2 linked regions of the Arabidopsis thaliana genome follow. The protein of the gene in region 1 interacts with the protein of each later gene in a biochemical or structural test. Each region holds a gene or a part of one and is shown in the gene's direction. Other genes may lie near its edges.

The links. Proteins that work in one complex are often made in the same cells at the same time.
Region 2: of the proteins of AGL29 (region 1) and MPK1, one has a biochemical effect on the other in vitro, tested with the Arabidopsis thaliana proteins (one large-scale study listed by BioGRID).

The regions. Positions count from the first base shown.
Region 1 is NC_003071.7:14,524,866-14,528,234, forward strand, and holds AGL29 (AGAMOUS-like 29), read left to right. Parts: upstream 1-1,805; 5' UTR 1,806-2,084; coding exon 2,085-2,603; 3' UTR 2,604-2,869; downstream 2,870-3,369. Other genes in the region: LHB1B1 (light-harvesting chlorophyll-protein complex II subunit B1), read left to right, coding at 1-753; AT2G34450 (HMG-box (high mobility group) DNA-binding family protein), read right to left, coding at 3,053-3,103, 3,266-3,346. UniProt on the Arabidopsis thaliana protein: Probable transcription factor.
Region 2 is NC_003070.9:3,347,190-3,351,698, forward strand, and holds MPK1 (mitogen-activated protein kinase 1), read left to right. Parts: upstream 1-1,892; 5' UTR 1,893-2,129; exon of another isoform or gene 2,130-2,375; 5' UTR 2,376-2,389; coding exon 2,390-2,812; intron 2,813-2,897; coding exon 2,898-3,587; 3' UTR 3,588-3,991; downstream 3,992-4,509. Other genes in the region: WLIM1 (GATA type zinc finger transcription factor family protein), read right to left, coding at 9-52, 152-248, 440-574.

The DNA.
Region 1 (3,369 bases):
GCCGTTAAGCTATCCCCGGCGGCCTCCGAAGTATTTGGAACCGGCCGAATCACCATGCGCAAAGCCTCCAAGCCCACCGGTCCATCCGGCAGCCCATGGTACGGATCCGACCGAGTCAAGTACTTGGGTCCATTCTCCGGTGAGCCTCCGAGCTACCTCACTGGAGAGTTCCCCGGTGATTACGGGTGGGACACTGCCGGTCTATCCGCCGATCCCGAGACCTTCGCTAGGAACCGTGAGCTAGAAGTTATCCACAGCAGATGGGCCATGCTCGGAGCCCTAGGCTGCGTTTTCCCTGAGCTATTGGCTAGGAACGGAGTGAAGTTCGGAGAAGCGGTTTGGTTCAAGGCTGGTTCACAGATCTTCAGCGACGGAGGATTGGACTACTTGGGCAACCCGAGCTTGGTCCACGCTCAGAGCATCTTAGCCATTTGGGCTACTCAAGTTATCCTCATGGGAGCTGTTGAGGGCTACAGAGTCGCCGGAGATGGTCCATTGGGAGAAGCAGAGGACTTGCTTTACCCAGGTGGGAGCTTCGACCCATTGGGCCTCGCTACTGACCCCGAGGCTTTCGCGGAGTTGAAGGTGAAGGAGCTCAAGAACGGAAGGTTGGCTATGTTCTCTATGTTTGGATTCTTCGTTCAGGCCATTGTCACCGGAAAGGGACCGTTGGAGAACCTCGCGGACCACTTGGCTGATCCAGTCAACAACAATGCATGGGCCTTCGCTACCAACTTCGTCCCCGGAAAGTGAGTTTAATTTGTGATCGAGTTGTGTGTATCCGGTTTGTTGCATCTTGGAAATGTGATGCAGATTTCATATCTTGTAAATTACTTTGTATGTGTGTGAAATATTTAAGAAGCTTTATGATATTGATGGATCAGTCACTTACTATTTACTAATGTGCAAGAACATACTTAGACCTAATTCGGTGTTCACACAACATAGTTTGGTTCCAAGAACAGAGATAATACCAAATGATTTGATCGTACCACATCAAAGTCCAAACAAGTTTGTTTTTGTTCTTCAAAATAACTAAAATATATCTCAAACCATCCTTATATGTTTTTAACTTTTTTGTCTTTCACTTTTGGTGTGACTTCTTCAATCGGATTTTGATGTTGCATTGTTGAGAGTTTTGGTGATAAGGAATCCAAAGTCTTGGTCATAATTTTTCTCTTGTTCAAATTTAATTGCACGGAATTTTTCATGCAATTTGGGTGTGTTTGGTATGCAAATTGTCAAAGACTTTATTTTTGATAATGTAGTTCGGAGTCTTGAAAGCATTTGTAGGTCTTATGGTCGACGCTCTTGTTTTAGGTTTCTAATTAAAAAAACATGGTTAAGTTGAATGTGACTGAACTCATAAGTCATTCGAGTGACTCGCAAACCTTTGGACTCCTGTCCTCAGTGGGCATTCGCAAACAAAAACGTTTGAAACGGTCCATAACTTTTTATTTTAATTCAACGACACCATTTGCAAAAACTTTTGAACTACATAACATGGTCGATAACTTATTAATCAACGAGAGGTCTACAAAGAAGAAAAAAAAAATCACTTTGGAGAATAACGACCAGAATATAAAATAAACTTCTAAATTTTGAATTACATAAAAAAAAAAAAAAAAAGAAAGACCAATTATGAATACCATTTTTAATTCTTTACAAGGTAATGAATCCCATCTTTTGTCTATGTTCTTAAGAAATAAAGGGAAAAAATATGAATTGTTAAAGATTCATGTATGTTTTGAATACACAATTAGAAACTATTCAATAGAAAAAAGAAAAATGAAAATTTAAATATTCATGGATGTTTGAATACACACAATTAGAAACTATTCAACGCCCATATAAGGCAATTCAAGATTTTCAATTAAAAACTTGCTAAATCTGCACCCTTGTGATTCTCCACCTCCATTACTATATATGACCCTCGTTAGGTTCAATGAAAATTCTCTACCTCCATCTCCATTACTAAAAACAGAGACATACAACACCAAAATCTTCTTCTTCACCAACATATTCACTTTCACAGCAAAAAAAAACGAGAGGTTCTCTCTTATTCGTACCGTTTTAGCAAACAAATGGGTCGGAGAAAGATCAAGATGGAGATGGTTCAGGACATGAACACACGACAGGTTACCTTTTCAAAACGGAGGACTGGTTTGTTCAAGAAGGCGAGCGAGTTAGCCACGCTCTGCAACGCTGAGTTGGGCATCGTTGTCTTTTCACCAGGAGGCAAGCCTTTCTCCTACGGGAAACCGAATCTTGATTCTGTTGCAGAGCGATTCATGAGAGAATATGATGATTCAGACAGTGGCGATGAAGAAAAAAGTGGTAATTACAGGCCTAAACTGAAGAGGCTGAGTGAACGTCTCGATTTGCTCAACCAAGAGGTTGAAGCTGAGAAGGAACGAGGCGAGAAGAGTCAGGAGAAGCTTGAATCTGCTGGGGATGAGAGATTCAAGGAGTCCATTGAGACGCTTACCCTCGATGAACTCAATGAATACAAAGATAGGCTTCAGACAGTCCATGGTAGGATTGAAGGTCAAGTCAATCACTTGCAGGCTTCGTCTTGCCTCATGCTTCTCTCCAGAAAATAGCTAGACCGACTTGTTAGAGTTACATTCTATTTTTTGTATCAGCCTACAGAACTTACCAACACATGAAAGTTATTGCTGGTGTAGAATTTTCTGTCATCTATGGGGTGTGACTTTCTATTTGACATCAAATGAAAATGTACCTGGAAATTTGTCTGTATTAATCTCAAGTGTACTTGCTAAACTTGATCAGCTTTTTCGTCACTCTGCAGTCTGGAATTTTTGTTTCAAACAGAATCGAGACAATAAAAAGAAACAGTAAAACCCTTTGGCAACCACTCAAGAAACTGGTTAGTATTCATTGATCTCCAAATGCAATCCACAGAAACATGAGTATCAGTGAAAGAATGATCTCAAAAACGAAACAGAAACTCTTAAATATCACCGATATACAAACCCATCCTAGAAGGCTTAGAACAATGTTTCTAATGTGGTAGAAACTAAAAAGTAATCTATTCAGAATAGTCTGAGTCGGTCTCTGATTCATCGTGGGCACCTGATTCCTGCAAAATAGTAAAATGAAAAGCTCAGACTAATGTTTTATCACCGCATCAGTGGGACACTGATGTGAATAAATATTAAGCAAAAACAAGGAAAAATGAAGAACCCACTGATGTGAATAAATATTAAGCAAAAACAAGGAAAAATGAAGAAAACGGTGGTACCATTCTCTTGGTATATTCTGTCATTGCTCGGTGAAATTCTTCCCTCTTCTCAGTAGCTATATCATAATACTTTACCTTTTCCTACAAAACAGTTGAGGAACAAA
Region 2 (4,509 bases), on another chromosome or scaffold:
GAAAGTACCTCTCCCTCCAAAGGCCTATCAGGTTTCCCAATCTTTGGTGTCCCTGTACATATATATGAATCAAACTTTAGATAGATAATTCCAAATTTGAAATCCCCACTCACAAAGCTTTTCACATTTTGATCTGTTTTTGGTAATTTACCTTCGAAGCTTTTCTCAAGACTTCCAGTTCTCTTGAAGTTTTGATCGAAATGTGGTCTGCAGTAGAGAACTCCTTCAAAGGAGTTGTAATTGCTAAGCTGACTCATCAAGAAGAAGAAGAAGAAGAAGAAGAAACAGAACAGTCAAATCTTTAGACCAATCAGTTTCCATAGCCAAAAATTCAAAGATTTCTACTTAATTGATTGGACTTCTTCATCTACATATATATCTACTAGATCTACTTCTGGATTAATGAGAAATCATCACAAACTAGAATCAAAGATCAAACCTTGAGAGTTCCTTTGCAATGGTGACATCGGAAACAAGCTTTGTGGTAGACCCGGTTATCGGCGGTTAACTTGTCGACAAGATAAACTGTTTTGTCACATGCCATGCATTTCTGGGTTGTTCCTGCGAACGCCATTCTTGTAAGAGATCAGACTAAAAGACTCAGGAAAAAAGAAAGAAGCTCAATAGTCTTGAGAGAGAGAGAGAGATAAAGAAGAATAAGATGAAGATGAAAGAAAGAGATTGTCAATTATTGTTGCTTGTTTTAATATGGGGACCAGATATATTGAAAAATGAACATGCTTCTTCTTTTTAAATATTTAAAGTAAAATTCTTTTAGGAAAAATTGAAATTTTTAATAAAATGTCACAAACAAAAAAGTTCAAGATGAGTATCGAATTTTGGATGCAAATTCGAATATTTGGTGTTTCTGACAACCCTAGCATTGTTTTTCGTGGTTGTCTAATCCACAAAACAAGATAAGCGATGAATAAATAAATAATTTGAACGTTAGCAACAAAACTAAAAACTGTACTACAAAAAGAAAAGGTTTCAACGGCATTTTTTGTGTTCTTAATTATTTTTGTCCAAACTTGAAGTAACCCGTCAATATCTGTCTCCTAGATATTTTGCTTATATTTTTTTTACATTAATTCAGTTCTTTTATATCTAGAGTCAGGTAATTATTTAGAGAATGCATGCAGTTGCTTGACAGTGCGTAAGATTTACACAAATTTTTCTCAACAGTGAAGGCAATGCTCAATAGTCAATAACTGTTTGTAAGGAAATAGAACAGGGAAAACCAACTGGAAAGAATCTTTGTCTGGTTTTAGATAATGATTAAAAGCTGTATTGGTTATGTTGAATTAGTTGGAAATCTCTAAATATCTATACACTATTTATTTTCTTTAATACTATATGTTGTGTAGTGTGTATATGAATAATGAAAATATCTGAAACATGCTTTACCATAAAGGCTTTTGATGAGCTGTAGTATTGACATAATTGGTTGAAGAGAATGAGTGATCATAATGATACCTAACATCTTTTATTTAATCAAAAATACCTAACGTTATTTTTATTTGCTACTATAATAGACTCCAACCAATTTATTAGTATCATTTTATACAGTTTCTAACATTTTTGCCACTGCTTAGATTTATGGGCTTTCCCTTTCTGTCTGCATGGGCCTCCTCTCTTATATTAATAATCTGACTTAATGAAAACTTTTAAATCTTTTGTAGTTTATTTTCCTCTAGATGCTAATTTTAGCAAAATGAAAAGATGTGTGATGGAAACGTAAAGTTAAAGCAAAAGAAGATGGTGAATTGGTGATGCAATATTTTAGTCATGTGTCATTGTTTACATTTATGATATATTTTACTTTAAAATACTTTTCTTCATTTTCAATTTTTATAAATCTTCGTAGAACACATATTCACAAATGATGCTACTTTGGTGATCAGTTACTAAAAAATACCGAAATTGATTTTAGAAGATAGAGACGTGAATCTGTTTGCCAATATTAATTGGGCTCAACTTAAGCCCAAATTATATAAGGAAAGACTACCTAGTAACGAACAAGTAGCAGGTCAACTGTCCGAGCGTTGGCCAAATCTCTCTCACTTCCACAGGTTTCTCTCTCCGGCCAAATCTAACCTCCGGGGAACGTCGTTGGTCACTTATCACCGGTTAGAATTTCCTTCCCGCTTTATCCCGTAAACTTTTTTCCCATTGATTCCGATCGTTTATGTTCCTTCACCAAATCGATAAAGTTTGATCTTTTTCCTTTTCACTATTATTAACAGACCAATCTGTTTACACAAGAAATCTACAGTAACTTATCACTTGAAAAGTTTTGATAAATAGTTAGTATAATAATTTGTTAATTGTGTGTGTAAATTTGATTTCTTGATTGTGTGTGAATTGTGATGAAGAGGGAAAACAAAAAATGGCGACTTTGGTTGATCCTCCTAATGGGATAAGGAATGAAGGGAAGCATTACTTCTCAATGTGGCAAACTCTGTTCGAGATCGACACTAAGTACATGCCTATCAAGCCTATTGGTCGTGGAGCTTACGGTGTTGTCTGCTCCTCTGTTAACAGTGACACCAACGAGAAAGTTGCTATCAAGAAGATTCACAATGTTTATGAGAATAGGATCGATGCGTTGAGGACTCTTCGGGAGCTCAAGCTTCTACGCCATCTTCGACATGAGAATGTCATTGCTTTGAAAGATGTCATGATGCCAATTCATAAGATGAGCTTCAAGGATGTTTATCTTGTTTATGAGCTCATGGACACTGATCTCCACCAGATTATCAAGTCTTCTCAAGTTCTTAGTAACGATCATTGCCAATACTTCTTGTTCCAGGTGTGTGGTTGATCCCGTTCATTTACTGTTGGTTCTAGCTTTGCTTTCTCCTGAAATTTTGCTTTGCTTTGTTCTTTTTGTGTAGTTGCTTCGAGGGCTCAAGTATATTCATTCAGCCAATATCCTGCACCGAGATTTGAAACCTGGTAACCTTCTTGTCAACGCAAACTGCGATTTAAAGATATGCGATTTTGGACTAGCGCGTGCGAGCAACACCAAGGGTCAGTTCATGACTGAATATGTTGTGACTCGTTGGTACCGAGCCCCAGAGCTTCTCCTCTGTTGTGACAACTATGGAACATCCATTGATGTTTGGTCTGTTGGTTGCATTTTCGCCGAGCTTCTTGGTAGGAAACCGATATTCCAAGGAACGGAATGTCTTAACCAGCTGAAGCTCATTGTCAACATTCTCGGAAGCCAAAGAGAAGAAGATCTTGAGTTCATAGATAACCCGAAAGCTAAAAGATACATTAGATCACTTCCGTACTCACCTGGGATGTCTTTATCCAGACTTTACCCGGGCGCTCATGTTTTGGCCATCGACCTTCTGCAGAAAATGCTTGTTTTTGATCCGTCAAAGAGGATTAGTGTCTCTGAAGCACTCCAGCATCCATACATGGCGCCTCTATATGACCCGAATGCAAACCCTCCTGCTCAAGTTCCTATCGATCTCGATGTAGATGAGGATTTGAGAGAGGAGATGATAAGAGAAATGATGTGGAATGAGATGCTTCACTACCATCCACAAGCTTCAACCTTAAACACTGAGCTCTGAGCTCAAGTCTTGTTTGTACGGGTAATTTACAGAAAACTTCTTCTTCTTATGTCTGATTGTCATCATAGACTCATAGTGTATATAGTCTTGAAAAATAAGATGAAGACTAACTTATAGTTTAAGCGAATAGTGATGCCATGGAAGCTCTGTTTTATTTAATTACAAGCTTGATGTGTGTCTGTAACATATGTACATAGAGAGAGCTGTTTTTTTTTTTTAATTACAAGTTTGATGTGTGTCTGTAACATATGTACATAGAAAGAGCTGTGTTTTTTTTTTAATTACAAGCTTGATGTGTGTCTGTAACATATGTTCATAGAGAGAGCTGTGTTTCTGTTTCTCTGTTTGTTTGTTGCGTTCTTGCAGAACTTTTAACCCTCTCATGCAATCCAAGCCTTTTGATGAATCAAGTTTTCATATAGTTGTTCTCATATAGCTTAAATCTAAGAATATCAACAATTAAGCATTTTGTTATATGAATATTTGATGATCACACCATGATCATAGGCCTTCGGATTCATAGAAGGGGTAGGCCTTTGCACCGAACCTAACTTTCCAAATCGTAACAAAAACAATGTATTGTTTTTCTTTCAATTTCTTAATGAAGTTCTATAAGATAATTTTGGTGAGTAGTATCAGTACCCTCCTCATTCATTTATCACATGATATGCTTCATTTTTTTGTCAACACATGATATGTTGCTTCTATTGGTTAAAAAGCCTTAAAGGCTAAAAGCTTTTTCTTCTACACCAACTTTCCTTCTCATAATTCATTTTTCTTTTCATAGTATATAAATAACTTGGAGGATTTTCCAATTTTTGTAAACCCATCAGAAATTTAAATTAACAATGAATATTCCAACTATATGTTTATGGTTGAATCACTTTTGTCTTTCTTTCTCCCCAAGTCAAAACTAAGTTAA